Caenorhabditis elegans: one gene and its partners. The protein of the gene in region 1 purifies or fractionates together with the protein of each later gene. This does not show direct contact. Each region holds a gene or a part of one and is shown in the gene's direction. Other genes may lie near its edges. The genes, in order: hpl-2, lin-61, lin-54 and tdp-1.

Region 1 (6,379 bases):
TCGATCTTTTCTCCATGACAGTTCTCTCCGGCGAAATTGGGTACGAAAAGCCCGATGAGAAGATCTTCCAGCTAGTTGTCAACCATTTCGATCTAATTTCTCCCTCGGAAATCTTGCACATTGGAGACAATTTGAAAAATGATTTCCATGGCGCCAAAAATTTCGGCTGTAGAGCTCTATTGTTTGATTCATCTTCCTCTCATAATGTTGAACCGTTTTATTGTATTTCTCGTTTGTCAGATTTGAAGCTTTATTAATTAATTGAATTTAATAAATAGTTTTAATTTTTCAGATAATGGATCTCTTCCGAAAACCGAAAAAGCGCAATGCACCCGTCGTTCGTAAAAAGGAAAGCTCAAGTGATGAGGATCAAGATTCAGAAGTGAAGGATGTGATTCAAAAGCGACGTCGTACGAATCCGATGGTCCAGTCGGTGAGATCTTGGTACTTTAGTGCTCCAAAATTTTGGAAAATCCCAATAAACTTTGAAATTCAGACCAAACAACTAGACGCCTCAACACGACGTGCTGATAATTCATCGGATGATTCTGACGACTCTGACGACAATCAGGATATCGCAGTAGCAACTCACTCGTTCGCCGCTTCAGGAGATGCCGGTCCATCTGGACCACGTGATCAAGGTGCCACTGCAACACTCGAAGTGGACACAGACTATTCACACGATGCCCAGGCTCAATTCGAACGAGTCCAACAGCAACTGAAGGAAGGCGTCGAGAAAGACGGAAAAATTCTGTACAAGGGAAGTGCACTGTATGGAGCCAAAGAGGCGAAGGATACGGCCAAGGGAAACGCTGCAAGTGGTTATAATCGAGTTGGGCCCGTTCGGGCGCCACAATTTCTACGACAAACAGTCCGTTGGGATTTTGCACCGGATATTTGCAAGGATTACAAGGAGACTGGATTCTGTACGTTTGGAGATTCGTGTAAATTTGTGCACGACCGATCGGACTATAAACACGGATGGGAGATTGATGAGGAGTACGAAGCAGGAAAATATGGTGCTGAAGACGATGCGAATTACGAGATTCATGAAGGCGACGATACGTTTCCGGAGGATTGTTTTATTTGCGGAAATCCATTTGTTGATCCGATCGTGACAAAATGCAAGCACTACTTTTGCACCGGTTGTGCGTTGAAATCGTTCCAAAAGTCGTCAAAATGCCCAATATGTCAGCAGAATACTGAGAATATTATGAATACCGCAAAAGGTTTGAAATAGAACGATTAATTCGTGATTTTCGCAAGTTTTGGAAGGTTTTTCGGCGCAGTTTGATACTTACATGTTACGGAGGATACTGCACGTGGACAAGCGTGAATCTTTTTTCACATTTTTTGGACAATAATAAGACATTATAACTAGAAAGAGAGGAGGAGCCTAATTTCGCAACTCTGCGGCACGATTTTTCGACAATTTTCCACTGTTTTTTTTTTTGGTTTTTTTTCTGGTTTTTTTTTCCAAAAAACTTCGATTCTTCCTGTTTTATTTTTTTTTACGAGAAAAAAATCAAATTTAATTCGCATAACATTTCGATTATAGTTCATATTTTTACAACCAATTTAGCTTGAAATATCCTCCCAATCTAATGTGAATTAAAAGGAATAAAATCGAAACTTTTATGGAAAAACCCCAAAAAAGAAAAAGGAAAACCGTGCCGCATGGTTGCAAAATTGGTTGCAAAATTACGTTCCGCCTCTTTTTCTGCTTTTTGGAAAACTCATTTCTTTGGTAATTTGGAATGTTGGAAGAGAATCAGCGAAAATAGTTCAAAAAAGTAAATTTCAGCCAATAACTCACAGTTGTCCGGGTGAAGTACAAAATCCTTCGTAAATTTACATGCAACAAACCGCGCTTTTAATCCAAAACTTGCGAAATTCACAAGATAGTAGCTCGAAAAATGTGGCAAAAAAAAATTAATTTTTAAATTTTCAGAGCTCCTAACCTACCTGAAACGGAAGAAGCAACAACAGAAGCAAGAAGCCGAGAAACAGGAAGAAGAAAAAGATAGTGACGATGATGAAAAACCACACGAATGCGACGATCACCATCATCATGATCACGAAGATGAGCCCGAGGAGCCTGAAAACGACTCAAATGTTCCAGAAGCCGAGGAGAAGAGCGATGAGGAACAGGAGATTATGATGGAGGATGTGGAAGGGCTTGAAGGTGGAGAAAATGACTCTGAGAGTGATGATGATGATGCTGAAAAAGATTGATAATTTTTATTTTTTTTTTAAATATTTCTGTACGGTGATTGTCTGTGAGTAAACTAAATATGATTTTTTTTCTTGTTCGAGCCTTTTTTTAATTTCAAGATATTGTTCGAATCTTTATTCCATATTTTTTCTATGTTTTTTCAGATTTCTCCCATTTTAGCTCAAATTTATTTCAGCAATTTCAAAAATGTCGAGCAAATCAACAAAGCGAGCAAAAATCGAAGATCCGGTATGGAACGGCGAAAAAACCAAAAAATCTATTTTTACAACAAAAAAAACTAAAAAATACAATTTTGCAACGAAAAAAAACCAAAAAACAGTCCATTTTGCAAAAAAACAATAAATCAATTTTTGCACTAAAAAAAATATTTTAAAAAAACAATTTTGCAACAAAAAATCTATTTTTGCATAAAAAATCCAATTTTGCTAGAAACAAAGCGACAGTATAAGTTCCCCGACAAAGAAAAAAAAAGTCACATTTTATTCAAAAATCTGATTTCCAGAAGGACAACGTGTTCATGGTGGAAAAAGTGCTGGACAAGCGAACTGGAAAAGCCGGCAGAGACGAATTTCTCATACAGTGGCAAGGATTCCCCGAGTCTGACTCTAGCTGGGAGCCGAGAGAGAATCTCCAGTGCGTCGAGATGTTGGACGAGTTTGAGAGGGAATTTTCAAAGGTTTTGAAGAATTTTTTAAAGTTTATTTTACTTGAAATGGTCCTAAAAAGCGAATTTCATAGTGAAAATTGTTTGAAAAATCTTCGATTTTGCCCACTTTTCCGTGCTGCAACTGTTTAAATTAGATTTTTGTTCGATTATTCTCCTATTTTCACACGGAAAAGCTGGTAAACTTGAAGATTTTAACTAAAATTAGGTTTTTTAGAGTTAAAATTACAAAGTCATAAAATCCGATTTTTCTGCAACAAACTTATTTTATTTTTACAGAGAGAGAAACCAATTCGCAAACGACACAGCCAGAAGCCCGAACCTTCCGAAGATCAAGCGGATCCAGAAGAGGATAAAGATGAAAAGAAGGAAACGAATCAAAATGACAAATTCTCACTGGAAGGCAAGCAGTTAAAATGCATTGTCGGGCTCACCAAGGGACCTGGGGAACTTCATTTTCTGTGCAAATTCAGTGATGACACGGCACGGCTTCTTCCAGCGAAGGAGGTGAACAGTCGGTGAGTTTGGGAATTGCTCCCGGTTGATTAAAAGTGTATTACGGAAACACTCCACCCAAAAACTTTAAAAGTATCCGAAAAAAAATATTACGGGAACACAAAATTCTGAGAATGCGTATTGCGCAACATATTTGACGCGCAAAATATCTCGTAGCGAAAACTACAGTCATTCTTTAAATGACTACTGTAGTGTCGATTTACGGGCTCGAGTTTTGAAATGGATTTTTGTTCAAATAGTGGCATTTTTGCTTAATTTTAATATTCTATCGGTAAATCAAAAAAATATGATTTCGAAAATAGAGCCCGTAAATCGACACAGGCACTACAGAATTTACTGTATTTACTGTACTGTAGTTTTCGCTACGAGATATTTTGCGCGATACGCATTTTCAGAATCTTGTGGTCTCGTGATACGCGTCGATGGGGATTTCACTCTAAAATATGCCGGCTGTACTGCACATAAGTGCCGAAATACCGAAATACCACGAAAAATATGAAAAATTGGACTTTTTCACTAAGAAATTCGAGGAAAAACGGAACAATTGCGTTTAAATTGATAAAAACCATGGCGCGGTAATTCAAACATTCAAAATTTTTCTGACTATTCTGCGTATTTAAAACTGAAATCCCGATCGGCGCTAGAGTTTTTAGCTAGGAAGCGAACCTCAATTTGGCATTTAAAAAAGCTCTAAATTTCAGCTATCCGAGCCAAGTTATCAGATACTACGAATCCAAGCTAACAATCCAAGACCCAAAAGCCGACGAGCTTTAATCACTCCCCACCCCGATACACGTGTTCAATATCATGTTCTCTCATCTCATTCCCATATTCTTTTTGAATTATCTTGTAAAATCTATACCAATTTTTGTGCTAACCCCTGAAATCGAGACTAAATATTATTGAATCAATAAAAATTTCTTGAGACACATTACATTCGACATTCTATTTTCCATACAGATACCGCCCGTTCGTCGACGCTTACGGCGAATTTCTGAAGAAAAAGATGGAGAGACGACACAAACGGATTTCCGAGGGAAAGAAGAAGCGTTCGATTGAGGAAGATGATGCAGATGATGAGTGGCCTGAAATGCCACCGGGACATCGAATTCTTGTGAGAAAATTTGAAGTTTTAGAAGGAGAAAATTTTGAGAAAAATGAAAAAAAAAAGTTTTCTCTGAAATGTTTCCAAAAAACAGTCTCTACACAAGGTCCAAAATTTGAACACCTCTCGAAAAATGTTTTTTTTAATTAAAAAAAATTTTTTTTTGGGAAAACATTTTTTTTGAGAAATTTTTTTAAAACTATACTGTTTTTAAATCTTTGAGAAAAAACTAATTTTTTGCGAATTTTGAATTCTTTTAGGTATTCTTCTTAAGGAAAAAGTAGTTTAGAAACTTTTTTTGGAACAAAATTATGTATTTTTAATTTTAGAATAAAAAACAATTTTTGAAATTTTTTTCAAAATTTTTATTTTAATTCCAGACAACCGAAGAACACGAGCTGCAACGTAGGAAGGAATCGAAAATATCGCAGGACGTTGAGATGACTGAAGCGGTAGGGGTCTTACCACGAACGAAATATTTTTTGAGGCCGCGCCTTTAAGAACTACAGAACACTATGTATCGATTTTTCAAAGAAAAAGGAAAACATAGATTTGTAAAAGAGATTCCTGAAATTCGTTTAAAAATCGATCTCTAGTAAATAAAAAAATGTCAGAAATTGTAAATTTCGGGATTTTTTCGCCAAAAAAATAGCCTTCCTCATGTGGTGTCAGAAAGTCTCATTGCAGTTTGATCTACAAAAAATGCGGGAATTGTTTCCCAGAAAAAATGTGACGTCAGAACGCTCTTAACCATGCAAAATCAGATAAGATGTCTGCGTCTCTTCTCCCGCATTTTTCGTAGATCAAAGCGAAAAGGGACTGTATGACTCCACGTGCTTCCTTAAACCATTCTTCAGTTTCAGCAAACCGCGGCCGATATGCTCAATGATATGCACATGGCGGCCAATGGAGATCTGCTTTCCAGCTTCCCACAAGATTTCCTTGAAGACTCTGGCGATGGAGAAGTTCACGAGGCGGCCATCCTCTCCGTTTTCGATGACAATTCGAATAGCCCGCCACCGTGTCCGATCGTTGTCGACACTGTACCAGACGATGATGACAGTCTCTTGTTCCCAAGAAACTCATAAATTATTTGATCTCCGCTGTTTCTTTTTTTTTTCGAAAATCCGATTTATATAAAGTTTGAACATTATCTTTATATAATGGATAGTACAACAAAAATCTCTTTAGAAATATATATAAAAAATATGTTAGAAACACTGAGAAGCTCATGGTGCATCGACAAATTTTCTGCATTTGCAGAAAATCCCACAAAAATGAAGAACATCGAGAACAAAACTCATGGTGCATCGACTAACAAATTTTTCGGCCAAAAAAATCTGATAAAATATGATGGCAAACAGACTTCCTAGAAACACCTGAATTTCGCCCGTAAAAAATGAGTGCGCCTTTAAGAGCTACAGTAACCCACTAAATCATTAAACTGAAAGTTCCTTGATGTCGAAAGAGAAACAAAATTTGACAAAAAAAAATTTATTGTCAGAGAAAAGTAATAGAAGTGAAATTGTGTGGGGAAATAAATACGGACGGGGAGTTTGAAAAAAGAATGGGACTATACGAGGTCATAAATAATACAATTGTGGGGAACGATGAGCATAGAAAAGGGGAAATGGGGCTCCATAAAAAAAATGAAGGACCTAAAAACGGGGGAAAATCACGAGAGGCGGTCGGGGGCTCAGAAGAACTTCAATCGTGTGGCTTGTCCACAGTGACGAACGCTTCCAGCGCTGCTTGTTTCGATGTCGACTCCTTCTTCTTCTTCTTAATCAAGGACGGTGGGAGCGACGTATTTTCCGGGGTGCCTGGCATTGGCGATTGCTTCTGAAAATTTGAAATT
Region 2 (5,156 bases), on another chromosome or scaffold:
GGTTTGAAAAAGCCAAACTCGATTTCATCGTCATAAACTAAAAATTAAAACATAAGTTGTTATATTTTTCGATAAACCCACTATCATTAAACATTGTAGCTGGTGAGGTTTGCGTCACTGGAGAAACTAGGACAATTTCGGGTTGTACTTCAGATTCCTCAACTTTCTGAGATTCTTCCGGTTCGGCTGCCTCATCGTAAACAACATTCAACCCATTCGACACTTTTTTCGGACGCTCCTGTGTAATGGTCATTGTCGGATCAGGATCACAGAGCACGGAAAAGTCAGTAACTATCTGCGTAGTAGCTAAAGATCTTTCTGGAACGAAGACAGAATCATCGCCAAGGACCATTGTCTTTTCGCTAGCAAGATGTACAGTGTCGGAAAACATAGCATGTGCCTCCAAACACTTATTTTCCGCCATCAAATCCAATCCAGCTCCACTCTTTGATGTTCTTGCAGAAGCAGTTGAATAGTTGGAAGATATGCTTGTGGAACGGTCTGGAGGGTTACCATCTTTTCTGCCGGCAGTCATAATCTTGAGTCTTTCATCATCATCTGCATCATCGGAATCACTAACATCTTTCTCCGAAGCAGACTTTGTATCCGACGAAAGTGTCACTGTCGCTGGAGGATTCTCAATTTTGCTCCGAAGTGCAGGTCTGTGAGCATCCTTCGTTGCAACCAGCGGCGAATAAATCCGGCTTCGCTTTTCCTCCTCATCATCAACCGTTTTCTCACTGACTGGTGAAAGATGACGTCTTCTAGGATTTAGATTGGCGTTGAATCGGTTTTCAACTTCTTCGCGGGCTTGTCTGTCGGTATCAATGACTTGATGTTTCACGAAAACGACACCAGAGTCTTTTCGTTTTCGGTAATCGTCATCAACATCTTCTCCGAAAGTGTCCTTCCATTTGGCAAAACGAAACTCCTCAATCGATATTCCATGATAGTTTGGCCTGTCGATACACGCCTGGCGAAGATCCGTTTTGGCTGTAAGTTTCCAATGAGAATAATAACTTTTTTTCAAACTTACTTTTTGGTCCAAATGCAGCTTTTCCCGAGTTATTTATAGGCACATTGTGTTGCAAAAAGCAAACCGAAGAGCGACGCTTTTTCTTAGAACCCGCATTGAATCTGAAAAGATCCATAGTCTCATCCGGTCGTGTGAACATATCTCCAGATTCTCCATTGAAGTATTCATCGACCAAATCGCGAAATCCCGATTCAATTGCTGTCATTTCTATTCTTTCGGAAAGACGATCTCGTGCCAACTTCAGGACATCTTTGAATTCCTCCAGCATTTGATCTTTTCCACATTCTTCTGCCCATTGCAGATAGAACTTCAGCGAACCAGTGAAATGATCCTTTTTGAAAAGTTGTTCATAAATGCCTCTTCCCTTCAGGTTTGTACTAGATCGACCCATAACTTTGTAGAGACGGAGCATCGCTTCGTTTTCACGAATTTGATCAAACTTTTGCTCCCGCAAAATTCTCCTAACGCAGTCGTATAATTCCGCCTTCATTTCCTCCGCGGTCATCATTTGAGACAACGTTTCGATTTGCCTGAAAGTGGTGACTATTTAAAATACAAGATATACGGAAACTTACGTTGCGAACGTCTCAAGACCACATGTCGACGGATTGGTGTCGAGTGGAGCGAATGCCACTCTAATGTGGGACATAACTTTCTGAAATAATCTGAATAACAAGTTTTCAAAGTAGAAAGGACGCGAATAAAAAAATCATCGGTTCACGAAAATTACGGAGTTCATTGGAGACGTGAAATCCCTCTTTCTCCTCTAAATTTTAGGACCTTCGAAAACAAGAAATGGATATAAACGCGCGCGTCTTTTTTGAAAAGCGAGTCTTCGCGGGCCTGCTCGATAGAGCGCGTTTTTCGCTGTAGTTCAGTGACGTCACTCTCATGGCTACGTTCTTTTGAATCTGGAGAATTGCGCACTACTGAAAATTGGGCGGTGCTTTATTGCTATAACTGAAAATTGATTTTAAAGCTATTTGAAATTATAAAAAAACAATTTTTTAAAAAGTGTTTGTATGCAATTGGAATTTAATTTGAAATGTTACACTTTTAATAACACAAAAAGCCCGCCCATTTTTTCGTAGTCCGTTCGTCACTAGTTTCGAAATCGACGGATCTGCATTGAGTCTCTCATTTCTTTTTTATTATTTTTCAAACATTTTCTCCATTTTCCTGTTTTGTTTCTTTTTTTTTTAAAGCAAAATGTTTCGAAATAATTGAAGTTAGCGTGGCCCAGTAGTCTAATTTGTCACCAGATAGTTAAGAGTGTTTTTGTTCGTCCGAAAAGTTAGTTCCCGAACATCAAAATGCTAAAATTAGTCATTTTGTGCTTCGCGTTGTTCTACAATACAGTCAGTTCGACAAGATTTCTGTTTGGCGTCGAAGTTAAGTGTGATTTTGATGAAGTGTTCCAATTAACAGTGTCGCATTGGGAAGACGATGGCAATACTTTTTGGGATCGCGATGAAGACATCACTGGACGTATGACTATGTTTGCTCGAAAGAAAATATTTTTCTATCAGGACGGCCATCATGGATTTGAATTTGGAAAGCTCGAGCCTTATGGGTGGTTTCTGCACAATTGCACGAAAAATGGAAATTTTCGCGAGTATAGGCACGGGTTGAGTAGCACCAGTGGATCCAATGGGTTGGAGTATATTGAGTACACTGTGAATTTGACGAACGCCTGAGAAATATCAAATCAAATCGAACTAACTTTCAATTTCAATAAACATTCTCTCTAATTACGTTTTAAACCAGTCTTAATTTCAGATGTCTGAATTTCTGAAAATTGTCAGAGCTAACAAAAAATCGGACAGAAAACTCGATAAGACCTACTTGTGGGAATCCTATTTACATCAGTTCGAGAAAGGAAAAACTTCTTTCATTCCAGTTGAAGCATTCAATCGTAACCTTACAGTTAATTTTAACGAATGCGTGAAGGAAGGAGTTATCGTGAGTTCATATTGTTCGTAAATCGGTTTTAAAATACAATTTTTGTAGTTCGAAACAGTGGTCCATGATTATGACAAGAACTGCGATTCGATTCAAGTCAGATGGTTTGCACGAATTGAAAAAGTTTGCGGATACAGAGTTCTGGCTCAGTTTATCGGAGCTGACACGAAATTTTGGCTCAATATTTTATCGGACGATATGTTTGGTTTGGCAAAGTAAGTTGGACGCTCAGCTCTTTCTACTATTCTAAATAAATAATGGTTCTGTTACATAAAATTCTAGAGAACAATCGTATTAAAACTTCGAAACATTTGTATAATAGTAAAATTTGAACATTTCAGCGCCGCAATGAGTGATCCCAATATGGATAAAATTGTATATGCTCCGCCGCTTGCAATCAACGAAGAATACCAAAATGATATGGTAAATTATGTAAATGTAAGTTTGTTTTTTTCCGAATTTATGTTAATATCATCTCACAACTTCAGAATTGCATTGATGGCGAAATCGTCGGCCAAACTTCGCTGTCTCCAAAATTCGATGAAGGGAAGGCTCTCCTAAGCAAGCATCGTTTCAAAGTTGGACAACGTCTTGAACTATTAAATTATTCCAATTCTACTGAAATACGCGTAGCGCGAATTCAAGAAATATGTGGACGACGAATGAATGTATCTATCACAAAGAAAGACTTTCCCGAATCGCTTCCAGATGCAGATGACGACAGACAAGTCTTTAGCTCTGGATCTCAATATTGGATAGACGAGGGAAGCTTCTTCATATTTCCTGTTGGATTTGCAGCAGTCAATGGATATCAACTAAATGCGAAAAAGGAATATATTGAGCACACAAATAAAATTGCTCAAGCAATAAAAAATGGAGAAAATCCAAGATATGACTCAGACGACGTCACATTTGATCAATTAGCAAAAGATCCAATTGATCCCATGATTTGGAGAAAAGTTAAGGTTGGACAAAAGTTTGAGCTCATCGACCCCTTGGCTCAGCAATTCAATAACCTCCACGTCGCTTCGATTCTCAAATTTTGCAAAACTGAAGGATATCTTATTGTGGGAATGGATGGTCCAGATGCACTTGAAGACAGTTTTCCTATTCATATCAATAATACATTTATGTTCCCAGTTGGTTATGCGGAAAAGTATAATTTGGAACTTGTTCCGCCAGATGAGTTCAAAGGAACATTCAGATGGGATGAATACTTGGAGAAAGAATCTGCAGAAACCCTACCGCTTGACTTGTTCAAGCCAATGCCTTCCCAAGAGAGATTAGACAAATTTAAGGTAATTCTGATTTCCAAACGGGTTGTTTTATATCGTTTGAGATTGTTTCACTATTAATAGTTATTCATAATTGTTTCTTGTTTTAAGGTAGGACTACGCCTTGAAGCTGCTGACATGTGTGAAAATCAGTTTATTTGTCCAGCTACAGTGAAATCAGTTCATGGAAGACTGATAAATGTCAATTTCGACGGCTGGGATGAAGAATTTGATGAACTGTATGATGTGGAGTGAGTTTATCATGACCGAACGACATTTTTTCAATGAAAATTCTATCATTTCAGCTCCCATGATATTCTACCGATAGGATGGTGTGAAGCGCACAGTTATGTTCTACAACCTCCGAAAAAGTACAACTATTGATAAAAGCTACATTAACATAATTTCATTCGTATGCAGGATCTCTTATATACACTTTCCCGTTTTGGATTGGTATTTCCCTTATTTTATTTACTGTGCTATCATTGGTGACTCTTTTTGCACCTATCGAACATGAATCTTCAACATTATTTTTCCGTTTATGGTTTCTTTTGTATCTTTTCTGCATGGTTATCGCCATTTTCTTATCTATTTAGTATTAGTGGTATCACTTTAAACATTCTACCAGTTTTATGTTGAATGTTCTGAAAATATTAAGCGTTTTGGTTTCAGTTTATTGTATCATGGCCTCCGAAGACAAGTTCGAGTCGGTTCTATCAACTCGTTACTGTAAGAATAGTCCACTTGTTTCGATCCTCTCGGAGACTAATAAAGCGACTCTTTGGAGACAACTATGGATTTGGCTCGCTGAAGCTGAAAAAGAGCTCGGTCTTAAACAAGTTACTCAGGATGCAATTGATGAGATGAAATCCAATAGAGATGTA
Region 3 (5,084 bases), on another chromosome or scaffold:
GCCTTAATAGTTCCGGTTTGTTGTATTTATGGGTGTCAGCAGCTGATCGTGAGTACTCTTTGACCATTTTCGTCGGATCTGCAACGTATTTTGACCGGGGTCCTGAACTAGTCGATGCAGTAGCTTCTAATTGATCTATCAGATGATTCCGGCTTCGAAAATTTATTTCAGCGACTGGGCACATTGATTCACACGAGGCCATTTCTGAATGAAGCGAAAATATTTTAAAATAAAATAAACTGAAGAAAAAATTCATCAGAGCGCAGTTTCTCTCCACGCAAAAATCGATTTCGAAAAGCGACGAAGCACGAGTTCTTTTACCAGAAATAGATAACAAATGAATCCCAACACCAGTGTCTTTCGATACAAATTCTAAATTAGACGTCTTGCATGATTTATTGAGATATTTATCAAAATACACGCAGATAGTAACAAGAATTTATTGGAACAACAAAAACAAGTGACAGATCATTGAGCTGGGATCTCGATCTCTCCATTGGCGATCGACTCGATGATGTCGTGTGGGTGTTGTCCATCAATTGTGCATCCAACGGATTGGGCTGTTCCTGAAAAAATACAATATTTAGAAACAGTTTATCGTTTTCGAAATATTACCAAGGATCTCCTTGACGGTTCCTTCAAGTTTCTTGGCCATCGATCTTGGTCTCATGATTCTGGCGATCTTGATGATGGTGTCAACAGTGAGGTCTCCATTGTGCTTCACTGAAATGGAAACGTGCAAAACGTTAAACTAGATTGATTAAACAACCCGTTGGGACGAGACAACACCAAACCCAGGAAAAATCAAACTCACGGAGCATGAAAATCACTTAGGTTACTAGTCTTTAAGTCACAAACTTTTACAAACTTATGAAGTAAGAGACCAGGGGATGAGAGCATATCGACTCCCGACCCAACGCATTAAATGCGTACCGTTCTTGACCTTCTTGCGGTCACGTGGTGGCTCCTTGAGCTCCTTGACGATGAGGGAAGCAGCAGATGGGACAACGTCGATCTTGGCAACACGGTTCTGGATGGTCAATTTGCAGGTGACCTTAAGACCCTTCCAGTCTTGGGTGGCCTTGGCGATGTCTTCTCCGATCTTCTTTGGAGACAATCCAAGTGGTCCGACCTTTGGGGCAAGAGCGGAGGTGGCTCCGACTTCTCCTCCGACGCAACGGAGGTACACTGAAAAGTGAAAATGATGCAAAAGAGTTTTTCAAAAATCACGATGATGAAATCTTTGACAAATTGAAAATCACGCATAATACGTCAAATACCTAATTAAATGTGCACAAAAATGAGCAACTTACCGATCTTAATCTCAGTTGGGTCGAACTTTGGTGGCATGATGAGTGACGTCTACCAGGGATACCGGCGGTGACAAAAGTGAGAAAAAATTCGTCGCGAGGACTTGGCGCCGGCGAATTGACTCCGTATCACAATGGTTGTTGCGTCGCTACGCAGCGAATTGTCGATGTCAATTTTCAAACAACATTAACTGTGGAGCGCACTTGCATTATTTTTGTTTAATCAAATTTCGGCGCGCGAAACAATTTTTTAATCCTTTTTTTGGGTGTTTTTTAAATTTATTAATATTAAATCTTATTGAATTATTGATTTTCAAGAAATAAGTTACTAATTTAACATTTTTGAAAGTATTTAGACGGCGAAAAATGAAATTTTGGTTCAAAAAGGAACGTAAATAAGTTGTATTTCATCCTCAAAACGATGTTCTTTTTTTTTTGTTGGGAATTTTCTGGCAAGATAACTTAATTTCTTTTCGTTTAATCTCTTTCCAAATGCTAAAACATTGTTTTCCTGATTAGTTATTTTTCAGTATTTTCAGTGTTGACAATGAATCAAGGAGAAATCGTTTATCAAGACGACGATGATTATTACGACGAATCGGAGATATACGATAATTATGAAGAAGGTGCCGAATTTATCGAAGTTAATGGACAGCTTGTGCCTCATAATCCAGTAATTTGTTTTCAATTCGAAATAAAAATAAACTTTTCTCAGAACTTACAGGCGCAGCAAAATCGTCCGGGAACCTCGAGTATGATTCAACAGCATAATCGATCAATGGAAGTTAATCAGGGATTGGTCAAAGACGAACCAATTGATACATCATCGCATCGCGTCTACGTCCCCCCTCCGAGACCAGTTCAGCGAAAAGTAATTTTAAAAATTTTCGATTTTTTACGAATTGACTAACCTCTTTGGAAGCTTTTTCAGCCTGGGCCCAGCACTCCCGGATCGTCTCAGTACACTGTGCGGAATTTGTCCAATTTATCGGGTTCACCTTCAATGTACGATCGACAGCCCGCTTCATTACGTTCGTAAACTAGAGATCTTTTGTCCTAATAATTATTTTATTTAAGCTAGAACAGTGCAACCAATGGGCTTGGAGATGGGAAATTCTGAACAGCGAAAAGTTTACATCGATATGAAAGATCACGTTAGTCATATTAGATTGAAAACTAAAAAGTAAAGAACTCAAATTTTGTAACTTTTCACTAATTCCTCTATTTTTCAAGAAAAGTATTTGCACCTGGCCAGCGGAAACCATGCAATTGCACGAAATCTCAATGCCTCAAGCTCTACTGTGATTGTTTCGCCAATGGAGAGTTCTGTCGTGACTGCAATTGCAAGGATTGTCACAATAATATAGAATACGACAGTCAGCGTTCAAAAGCCATCCGTCAGTCACTTGAGCGAAATCCGAACGCTTTCAAGCCAAAAATTGGTATTGCTCGTGGAGGTATTACCGACATCGAACGTCTTCATCAGAAAGGATGTCACTGTAAAAAGAGTGGTTGTCTGAAAAACTATTGTGAGTGTTATGAAGCAAAGGTTCCGTGTACCGATCGATGCAAGTGCAAAGGATGTCAGAATACTGAAACATACAGAATGACAAGATACAAGGTGCAATTTCCTATAATTCAGTTTAAAAAATGGAGTAACGATTCTGGATTTTTCGAACGTATAGGCTAACAAATGTGCTCAAATTAACAAGTTTTGTTTGGCAGTTCAAAATTCCGAAAAAGGCTAATTTTGATCACTTTTCCGTGTCCCAGCGGTCGGAAGCTGACTTTTTTTGAATTATCATCTTTTATTGAATATTTTGGTATTTTATCTGACGTTATTTCATTGATTAAGGTACATTTAAAGCTGATCGGTAACCAATTTCGATCATTTTTGGTCACCTCTCGGCCTTAAATGTACTTTAATTGATGAAATTTTTAAAAAAACGTTAGATAAAATACCAAAATATGCAATAAAAGATGATAATTTTAAAAATGTCAATTTCCGACCGCTTCGACGCGGAAAAGTGGCCAAAATTGAATATTTTAGCTCAAATTTCACCTTTTTCAAATTTAAAAAAATCATATTTTGGATCTCTATACGTTCAAAATACCGCAATTCTTGCAATAAATTTAATTTCTTATTCAAATTTTAATTTCAGAACTCCGGTGGTGCCGTGTCCAATACGAATGCCCTGATGTCATTGACCAACGCTTCCAGCACAGCGACTCCAGATTCTGGTCCGGGAAGTGTGGTGACCGATGAGCATGGAGACGACTACGAGGATATGCTTCTTTCGCATAAACCGAAGGTCGAGATGGATCCTAGACGCTTCCCGTGGTACTATATGACCGATGAAGTCGTTGAGGCAGCCACTATGTGCATGGTTGCTCAAGCTGAAGAAGCTGTTAGTTGGAAAATCAATTGGTTTCCTATTGAATTTAATTTTTTTTCTTTGCAGTTAAACTACGAAAAAGTGCAAACCGAAGACGAAAAACTCATCAATATGGAGAAGCTTGTCCTTCGTGAATTCGGCCGCTGTCTCGAACAAATGATCACAAACACAACTGAGCTCACACAAGATCTTGATGCCGCTCCAACGGATGACATCCCAGGACCATCTACTAGTACTTCTTAACTATTCGCATTAAAATTATTATCAATTTTATCACAGTTGCGCGATCTTTTATGATCTCACCTCTCACACATTCTTTGCCTTCCTCCCCTCCTCTCAATGCTTTTACAGATTCACAAGTTGCCTTCTTTCAAAGTTGTCAAATAAAAAATGATCAGAAAAATTTGTTTCATTTTTACTAACTCACCTGCGTCTCTTCAATTTTAGAAATTATTGTGTTATATTTATGAAGTTTTGTGTCTTTTTTTTATTATTTGGCAGCATAGTTGCACATTTGTTCCCAGCAAAGTAATTATTTCGAGAAATGTTTGATTTTTTGATTCAGAAGTTTAAATTAAATTTTAATTGCGTATTGTGCGCCGAAACACGCTCCTATTTTAAACAAAGCTATTCAGGAGTGTTTCGGCGCACAATATGCATCGCTGGTCTGCGATTAAAATTAAAATTAATTTTTATTGTGCAAAAAATAATTAAAATGCGAATTAGTACACCTTTAAAACCTAGAAAATTTATTAGAAATGTCAGAAAACGAGCTGAGCGCCGAGGACACTGCATTTCTGGAAAAAGCCTTCGAATTGGCTCAAGAAGCTTTAGATGAAGATGAAGTTCCAGTTGGATGTGTATTTGTGGTCAATGGAACAGAAATTGGAAGAGGTCGGAATCGTGTGAACGAGACCGGTGATCCGACAAGGCATGCTGAGATGGTAGCAGTCACTGAAATGTGGAAAGAGCACGGAACGGGCTGCGAGGATCTGCTCAAAAAATCCACGCTCTACGTTTCCCTGGAGCCCTGCATAATGTGCTCGTCGGCAATGTATCAGCTGGGAATTCGAAAAATGGTGTATGGAGCCGAAAATCCACGATTCGGAGGTGTACGGAGTGTTGGAAGTGCGGAGAAGTACCGAATGGAGGATAATGTGCAAATTGTGGCTGGAATTTGGTCGGAACGATCTGTCGCCATGCTGAAAACATTCTACGAGAAGCTTAACCCATTTGCACCGCCTGAAAAGCGGAAAACTAAAAAACCAAAGTTAGATGAAATTAAATGATTTTATTAATTATTCATTCTTGTTTAATTTCTCGATTCTATGGTTACTAAATGCGCCATATATATCTGAATTATTATAGTTCCAATTGA
Region 4 (4,648 bases), on another chromosome or scaffold:
ACTTTCGACGCAAAGTGGGGAGAATTCGAATGGGTCCTCAAGGTATGGATTTATTTAAAATTAATTGAATGAAAATTATTAAAAATTTCAGAGACACGAAATGGAAACCAGTCGTCGTCGTTTCTTCCTCTGATTACTATTATTCGTTTTTCAAAGGTTGCAAAAAAATTCGAAGCCCCAATTTTATCCTTACTAAGGTTTTTGAAGTTTTGAACAAATATCTCAATCTCTCCCATGCAACCCTATCATCTTTGTTACTGCTTTTATTTTGTTGTTTTGTTGATGTTATTGAATAATATAATTTGATGCAATTTTTTTAAACTGTTACCTCTAAGGTTTCTGACCGATAATTATCTATTCTGATGATATTTTATTATTATATATATTCGCAGAATTTATTCAGGTTCTGACCATGTTGGGGAACAAATTCGTTGCTCAGTTGGCTCTGCAGCACCTCCGCAATCGAGGACTCGTCAATTCCCCATCTCGTCTGACTTTTGTTCGGTAAATTTTCTTTCCGAATAGTATAGATTTATTTTTTATTCTAGAAATCGATTTGCTTGGGGATCTGATGCTGTTGGTCCAAATGTTCCAGTTGGAGGAAAGATGGGAGCTTCGGAGAATCCAGAATTGCACACCTATGATGGAGACTACCGCGGTACCATCTCGAAGGGGGATAAGCCAATTCCAGATTACTTCTACCGTACTCCAACAACTGGTCGAACCTACATCGATCGTTGTGTAACCTATTTCATCTCAGCTGTCATTTGGGCGTGGTTCTCGTACCACATGTACTATCATTCTGGCCATCTCTTGGGACATTGGTACATGCCATACTTGAGCGAGTTCACGGATGAAGAGCTCGGAATTCCAAAGGATTCTGCCGAAGATCCAGAATACTGGGGCAACCACAAGAAAGAATATGGAACTTATCGATAAATAGTTGACAGAATGTTTTTAGTTCATTCATAGTCTCATTCTTCTTGAAACGACTTGACTTTTATTTTTAACCGTTTCCTGTATGCCTGATTGTAATTCAATAAAGTGGCTTCGAATACGAACATTTTAAAAATATAATTATTTATTTCTAATCTATAACCAAATAACCTAAACTATTCCAAGGTCCGGCACATTGTCTCGTGGACGATAAACTCGCTCTTCTTGGTAGGAAAGAACCTGAAAAAAGACGAATGAAAAACTATTTCGAGCGGAAATTTAGTCTTACAACTTGTTTTTTCGCTTGAAGAGTAGGATCTAGCCTTCCTTCTTGTTCTTGTATCTTCCACATAAACCGATTTACTGGATGTTTGTCGCCTTTCCACCACCTGAAATAAGTATTTCAGTTAAAAATGAATCAATTACAATGTTTTATTACCGGACTCCAACATTGTACATTACTATGTAGAGAAGCGTTGAAGCTACAATTGCAGGACCAGTTCTTTTCATAGGATATGACAGAATTTTGTGGAATCTGAAAGTTAATAATTTTAATTTTAACGCTGGTGAACAACACTTACTTTATTTTCCAATTGGCTTTCCCTGTCGGTTTTGAACTCATCACCACATTTTTGTCACCTTCCATGTTTGAATAATAGTCAATTGTCAAGTTTCAGAGAATAAAATGATCATTAATGGGCAAAAGAAGGTTTTTTTTGTAATTCAGAGACGCCTAGTTTCTGAGAGGTACGGTGTGAAAATGTGTGCATATGTGCGTCATGGTGTTTGCACACCATTTGTGTAATTAATTTACAAGATTTTTGCTCGGAGATTTTTGGCTCAATTTATTGGTTTTATTGATTAAAAATAGATACAAATAATTCATTATTTTAGTAAATTTGTTATTATTTCAAATATATCTGTTTCCAGTCACTAAATGGCCGACGAAACGCCGAAGGTTAAAACAGAACCTGCGGCCGAGGTTAAATCACCCTTGGATGAAGTTAAGGAAATTCGAAAAGAGGCAGAACTGGTAAGTTAATAATAATTCGTACAGTTGCTAATATCCCATGTTCATGTTTTCCAGACACAAACTGGGAGTGACGAAAAGAAAACCACGGACCCGGAATTCATCACAGTACAAGATCCAAATGGAGATGAGCCAATAGAACTTCCTACCGTTGATGGTGTTGTCTTGATGACTACATTGCAAGCATCGTTTCCGGGTGCTACTGGTTTGAAGTACAAAAATCCAAAAACTGGAGCCAACCGAGCTGTTCAGTGAGTGCTTGGTGGAGGTATACTGACTTAAAATTTATTTTATTTTCCAGAGTCGATCCCAGTGGTTTGAAATTAATTGCTCCAGCTGACGGCTGGGAAAATAAAACGTTCTTCGTTATTGTTGCCCCGCGTAAGTTGTTTTTGTTTTATATTAACTAGTTTCACCAAAATTCAAGCTTTTGAGTAGAGACGGTTTATGTGACAGTCTGAGTGAAGACGTTCGAGTGACGTAGTGTGATTCAGAGAGCGAGAGAGTCAGAGCGTTGTCATCAGCTGACGCGACGAGTGCGAAGAGACGTAAAGTGGGATCGAGTGACGACTCGGATTCGGATGACGGTCGTGACGGACGTTCGGGCAGGAAGAGAGCGGTTGAGAGAGACAGCCAGCCAGTTGACCTCATCGTGCTCGGTGTGGACTTCAAAACGACTGACGAGTGCTTTCAGAAATACTTCGAAGATATAGGAACTGTTGTGTTCTGTGAGGTTCGTGAGATGAGTGAAGGAATCTGAAAGTGAGAGAATTAAGTTCACATAGGTTCCATTAAAAATACATATTCAATATTCTTCTTCAGATAAAACGAAAGTCGGATGGAAACTCAAAAGGATTTGGATTTGTCAGAATGTCATCAGTCGGTGAACAAAATAAAGTATTAGCTATCCCACAGCACATGATTGATGGTCGTCGTTGTGATGTGAAAGTTCCAGATGGAAGGGTATGTTATTATACTGATCAATTAAAACTAATAAGTTGAGCAGAGTTTGCAGGACAAACAAGGTCGTCCATCAATCAGTCGAATTTTTGTCGGAAGGCTCACAGACAAAGTAGACGAACATCAACTGCGAAAAGTGTTTGGAGATGAAGCAAAAAGCTATATAGAGACTGCAGTAGTTACCGATGTGTTCATCCCAAAACCATTCAGAGGCTTTGCATTCGTTACGCTGTCGAGCGCCGAAGCCGCGGAAAGAATTGTCAGGTATTGCTAATTTTTTGGAAAACCTGTTAAAAATAACTGTCTCCGGTGTAGCATCACTTTTAAGCACTCATATTTTTCATTCTAGTAAGAAATATAATTTTCAGCAAAGGATCGCTAACTGTCAACGGTTTATCAGTTGGATTGAGCATCGCACAGCCTCGAGAAGAGAATAATCAATCAGTTGGCCCTGATTATGGCCTTCCAGCTGGCTACCGTAACCGCAGAGAACGTGATCGACCGGATAGACGACCGATTCAAAATGAAGCACCTCTGCCCATGCCATTCGTCCGCCCACCACAAGATTACTCATACCGTCAGCAAAATTCTCCCCTCGAGAGGAGATACTGGGCACCTGGAGACTCGAGAGGACCAGGATGGTGATTCTCTCGAAAAATCGTTATTATTCATATTTTTCTACACTTTTCTCAATTTTCTTGTCTGACAATTTGTCATTAGTATTGTTCTCTCACATTTACTAGACCCCTACAATTTTCATGTCGACGCACTTTGCGATTTTATGCTGTATTTTTAATAATGCAATTCTACAATCTCTGAATAAAAAACCTGAAATTAAATCGACTAAAAAACTAGTTCATTCTCAAGAATTGGTAAGACAAGAGGCACAAAAAGTTAGTAAGTTTCCGAGTATTCATTGCACAACATCTCAGAAACGTACTCCGAATTCACAAAGTATGGCGTCGTGTTCACAGAATTCTGGGCAACCTCGGAACTCGTGTTCACATATTTCGGCAGAAATGAAGCTTCAACTTTTTTAACGGCAATATGTTGAGGAACATCGAAAACGAAAATCTCGGACAAAGCATCAAGTTGGTACTGTGATGGGACACGAGCCAAACGAACAGTATTCTCTGCTGGCTTATAATTCAAATCAGCCAATTCATAATAACTTTGTGGACCATCACAATTGACACGTGTAGTTTCTGGATAAGCAATGGTGGATTGTTCAGTGATCCATTGACTTTGAACACTTTCAGTTTCTCTCAAACAATCCTCCCAACCATTATCCGATTCGGCACCCGTGATGACGTCATCAAAGCTCGACTTTTCATTCTTCTCAATTTCCAGAAGCATCTAAATTAAAATAATTCTGTAATTGAAAAGGATAAAAATATAAATCAACTTACCAAATTTCGTTGAATATTATCCATTGAAGTTGAAAGTTGGCTGCATGATCTCGAATCCGTTGATTTTTTGTGTTCCATTTCAATTCAATTTCTAATTCAAAGTTCGAAATAATTTATTTATAATCATTGAAAGTTTATTTGGAAAAAAAAAACTAAATTTTAATTTCTAAATTTATATTCCACGCGGTTTTAAAAAATTGTGTTATTATTACAATTTTTCAAAGTCATAATCTAAAATTTCGCGTAGACTCCAAGAAAATTTAATAATTTTAGAAAAATATCAGCTTTCCATAAGCATCATATCCAATGTTTC

What was found.
Region 2: the proteins of hpl-2 (region 1) and lin-61 purify together in Caenorhabditis elegans (affinity purification with western blotting, with the first as the bait; one study listed by BioGRID). This does not show direct contact.
Region 3: the proteins of hpl-2 (region 1) and lin-54 purify together in Caenorhabditis elegans (affinity purification with western blotting, with the first as the bait; one study listed by BioGRID). This does not show direct contact.
Region 4: the proteins of hpl-2 (region 1) and tdp-1 purify together in Caenorhabditis elegans (affinity purification with western blotting; one study listed by BioGRID). This does not show direct contact.

What each region holds. Positions count from the first base shown.
Region 1 is NC_003281.10:10,751,554-10,757,932, reverse strand, and holds hpl-2 (Chromobox protein homolog hpl-2), read left to right. Parts: upstream 1-2,411; 5' UTR 2,412-2,422; coding exon 2,423-2,464; intron 2,465-2,738; coding exon 2,739-2,912; intron 2,913-3,179; coding exon 3,180-3,418; intron 3,419-4,117; coding exon of another isoform or gene 4,118-4,190; exon of another isoform or gene 4,191-4,342; intron 4,343-4,376; coding exon 4,377-4,530; intron 4,531-4,901; coding exon 4,902-4,973; intron 4,974-5,378; coding exon 5,379-5,609; 3' UTR 5,610-5,679; downstream 5,680-6,379. Other genes in the region: K01G5.10 (Haloacid dehalogenase-like hydrolase domain-containing protein 3), read left to right, coding at 1-257; rnf-113 (putative E3 ubiquitin-protein ligase rnf113), read left to right, coding at 296-433, 497-1,229, 1,952-2,235; enu-3.6 (ENhancer of Uncoordination), read right to left, coding at 6,229-6,363. UniProt on the Caenorhabditis elegans protein: Seems to be involved in transcriptional silencing in heterochromatin-like complexes. Probably does not act as global transcriptional repressor, instead targeting a subset of genes. Involved in RNA processing mediated by Tar DNA-binding protein homolog tdp-1.
Region 2 is NC_003279.8:7,248,476-7,253,631, reverse strand, and holds lin-61 (Protein lin-61), read left to right. Parts: upstream 1-2,349; coding exon 2,350-2,712; intron 2,713-2,815; coding exon 2,816-2,998; intron 2,999-3,046; coding exon 3,047-3,213; intron 3,214-3,339; coding exon 3,340-3,436; intron 3,437-3,486; coding exon 3,487-4,296; intron 4,297-4,383; coding exon 4,384-4,523; intron 4,524-4,577; coding exon 4,578-4,656; downstream 4,657-5,156. Other genes in the region: Mitotic checkpoint serine/threonine-protein kinase bub-1, read right to left, coding at 1-37, 82-993, 1,037-1,566, 1,612-1,685; adsl-1 (Adenylosuccinate lyase), read left to right, coding at 4,956-5,156. UniProt on the Caenorhabditis elegans protein: Synthetic multivulva class B (synMuvB) protein required to repress the induction of vulval development by Ras signaling. Unlike other synMuv proteins it does not associate with the multiprotein DRM complex and the NuRD-like complex.
Region 3 is NC_003282.8:13,239,211-13,244,294, forward strand, and holds lin-54 (Protein lin-54), read left to right. Parts: upstream 1-1,840; 5' UTR 1,841-1,857; coding exon 1,858-1,983; intron 1,984-2,025; coding exon 2,026-2,181; intron 2,182-2,232; coding exon 2,233-2,341; intron 2,342-2,387; coding exon 2,388-2,493; intron 2,494-2,543; coding exon 2,544-2,931; intron 2,932-3,472; coding exon 3,473-3,718; intron 3,719-3,772; coding exon 3,773-3,949; 3' UTR 3,950-4,191; downstream 4,192-5,084. Other genes in the region: tag-115 (SAC3/GANP/THP3 conserved domain-containing protein), read right to left, coding at 1-202; rpl-12 (Large ribosomal subunit protein uL11), read right to left, coding at 469-566, 616-723, 934-1,188, 1,314-1,350; JC8.4 (CMP/dCMP-type deaminase domain-containing protein), read left to right, coding at 4,465-4,995. UniProt on the Caenorhabditis elegans protein: Synthetic multivulva class B (synMuvB) protein. SynMuvB proteins are required to repress the induction of vulval development by Ras signaling and probably act by forming the multiprotein DRM complex that repress transcription.
Region 4 is NC_003280.10:8,995,961-9,000,608, forward strand, and holds tdp-1 (Tar DNA-binding protein homolog 1), read left to right. Parts: upstream 1-1,864; 5' UTR 1,865-1,873; coding exon 1,874-1,969; intron 1,970-2,023; coding exon 2,024-2,217; intron 2,218-2,267; coding exon 2,268-2,347; intron 2,348-2,450; exon of another isoform or gene 2,451-2,460; coding exon 2,461-2,699; intron 2,700-2,788; coding exon 2,789-2,929; intron 2,930-2,972; coding exon 2,973-3,190; intron 3,191-3,294; coding exon 3,295-3,571; 3' UTR 3,572-3,762; downstream 3,763-4,648. Other genes in the region: Brix domain-containing protein F44G4.1, read left to right, coding at 1-42, 92-133; ndub-2 (putative NADH dehydrogenase [ubiquinone] 1 beta subcomplex subunit 2, mitochondrial), read left to right, coding at 413-504, 549-939; F44G4.3 (uncharacterized protein), read right to left, coding at 1,108-1,176, 1,226-1,325, 1,376-1,471, 1,518-1,582; F44G4.5 (uncharacterized protein), read right to left, coding at 3,821-4,282, 4,336-4,413. UniProt on the Caenorhabditis elegans protein: RNA-binding protein which regulates transcription, splicing and RNA-editing. Limits the accumulation of double-stranded RNA by maintaining the abundance of the mature RNA transcripts that are formed from double-stranded precursor RNAs.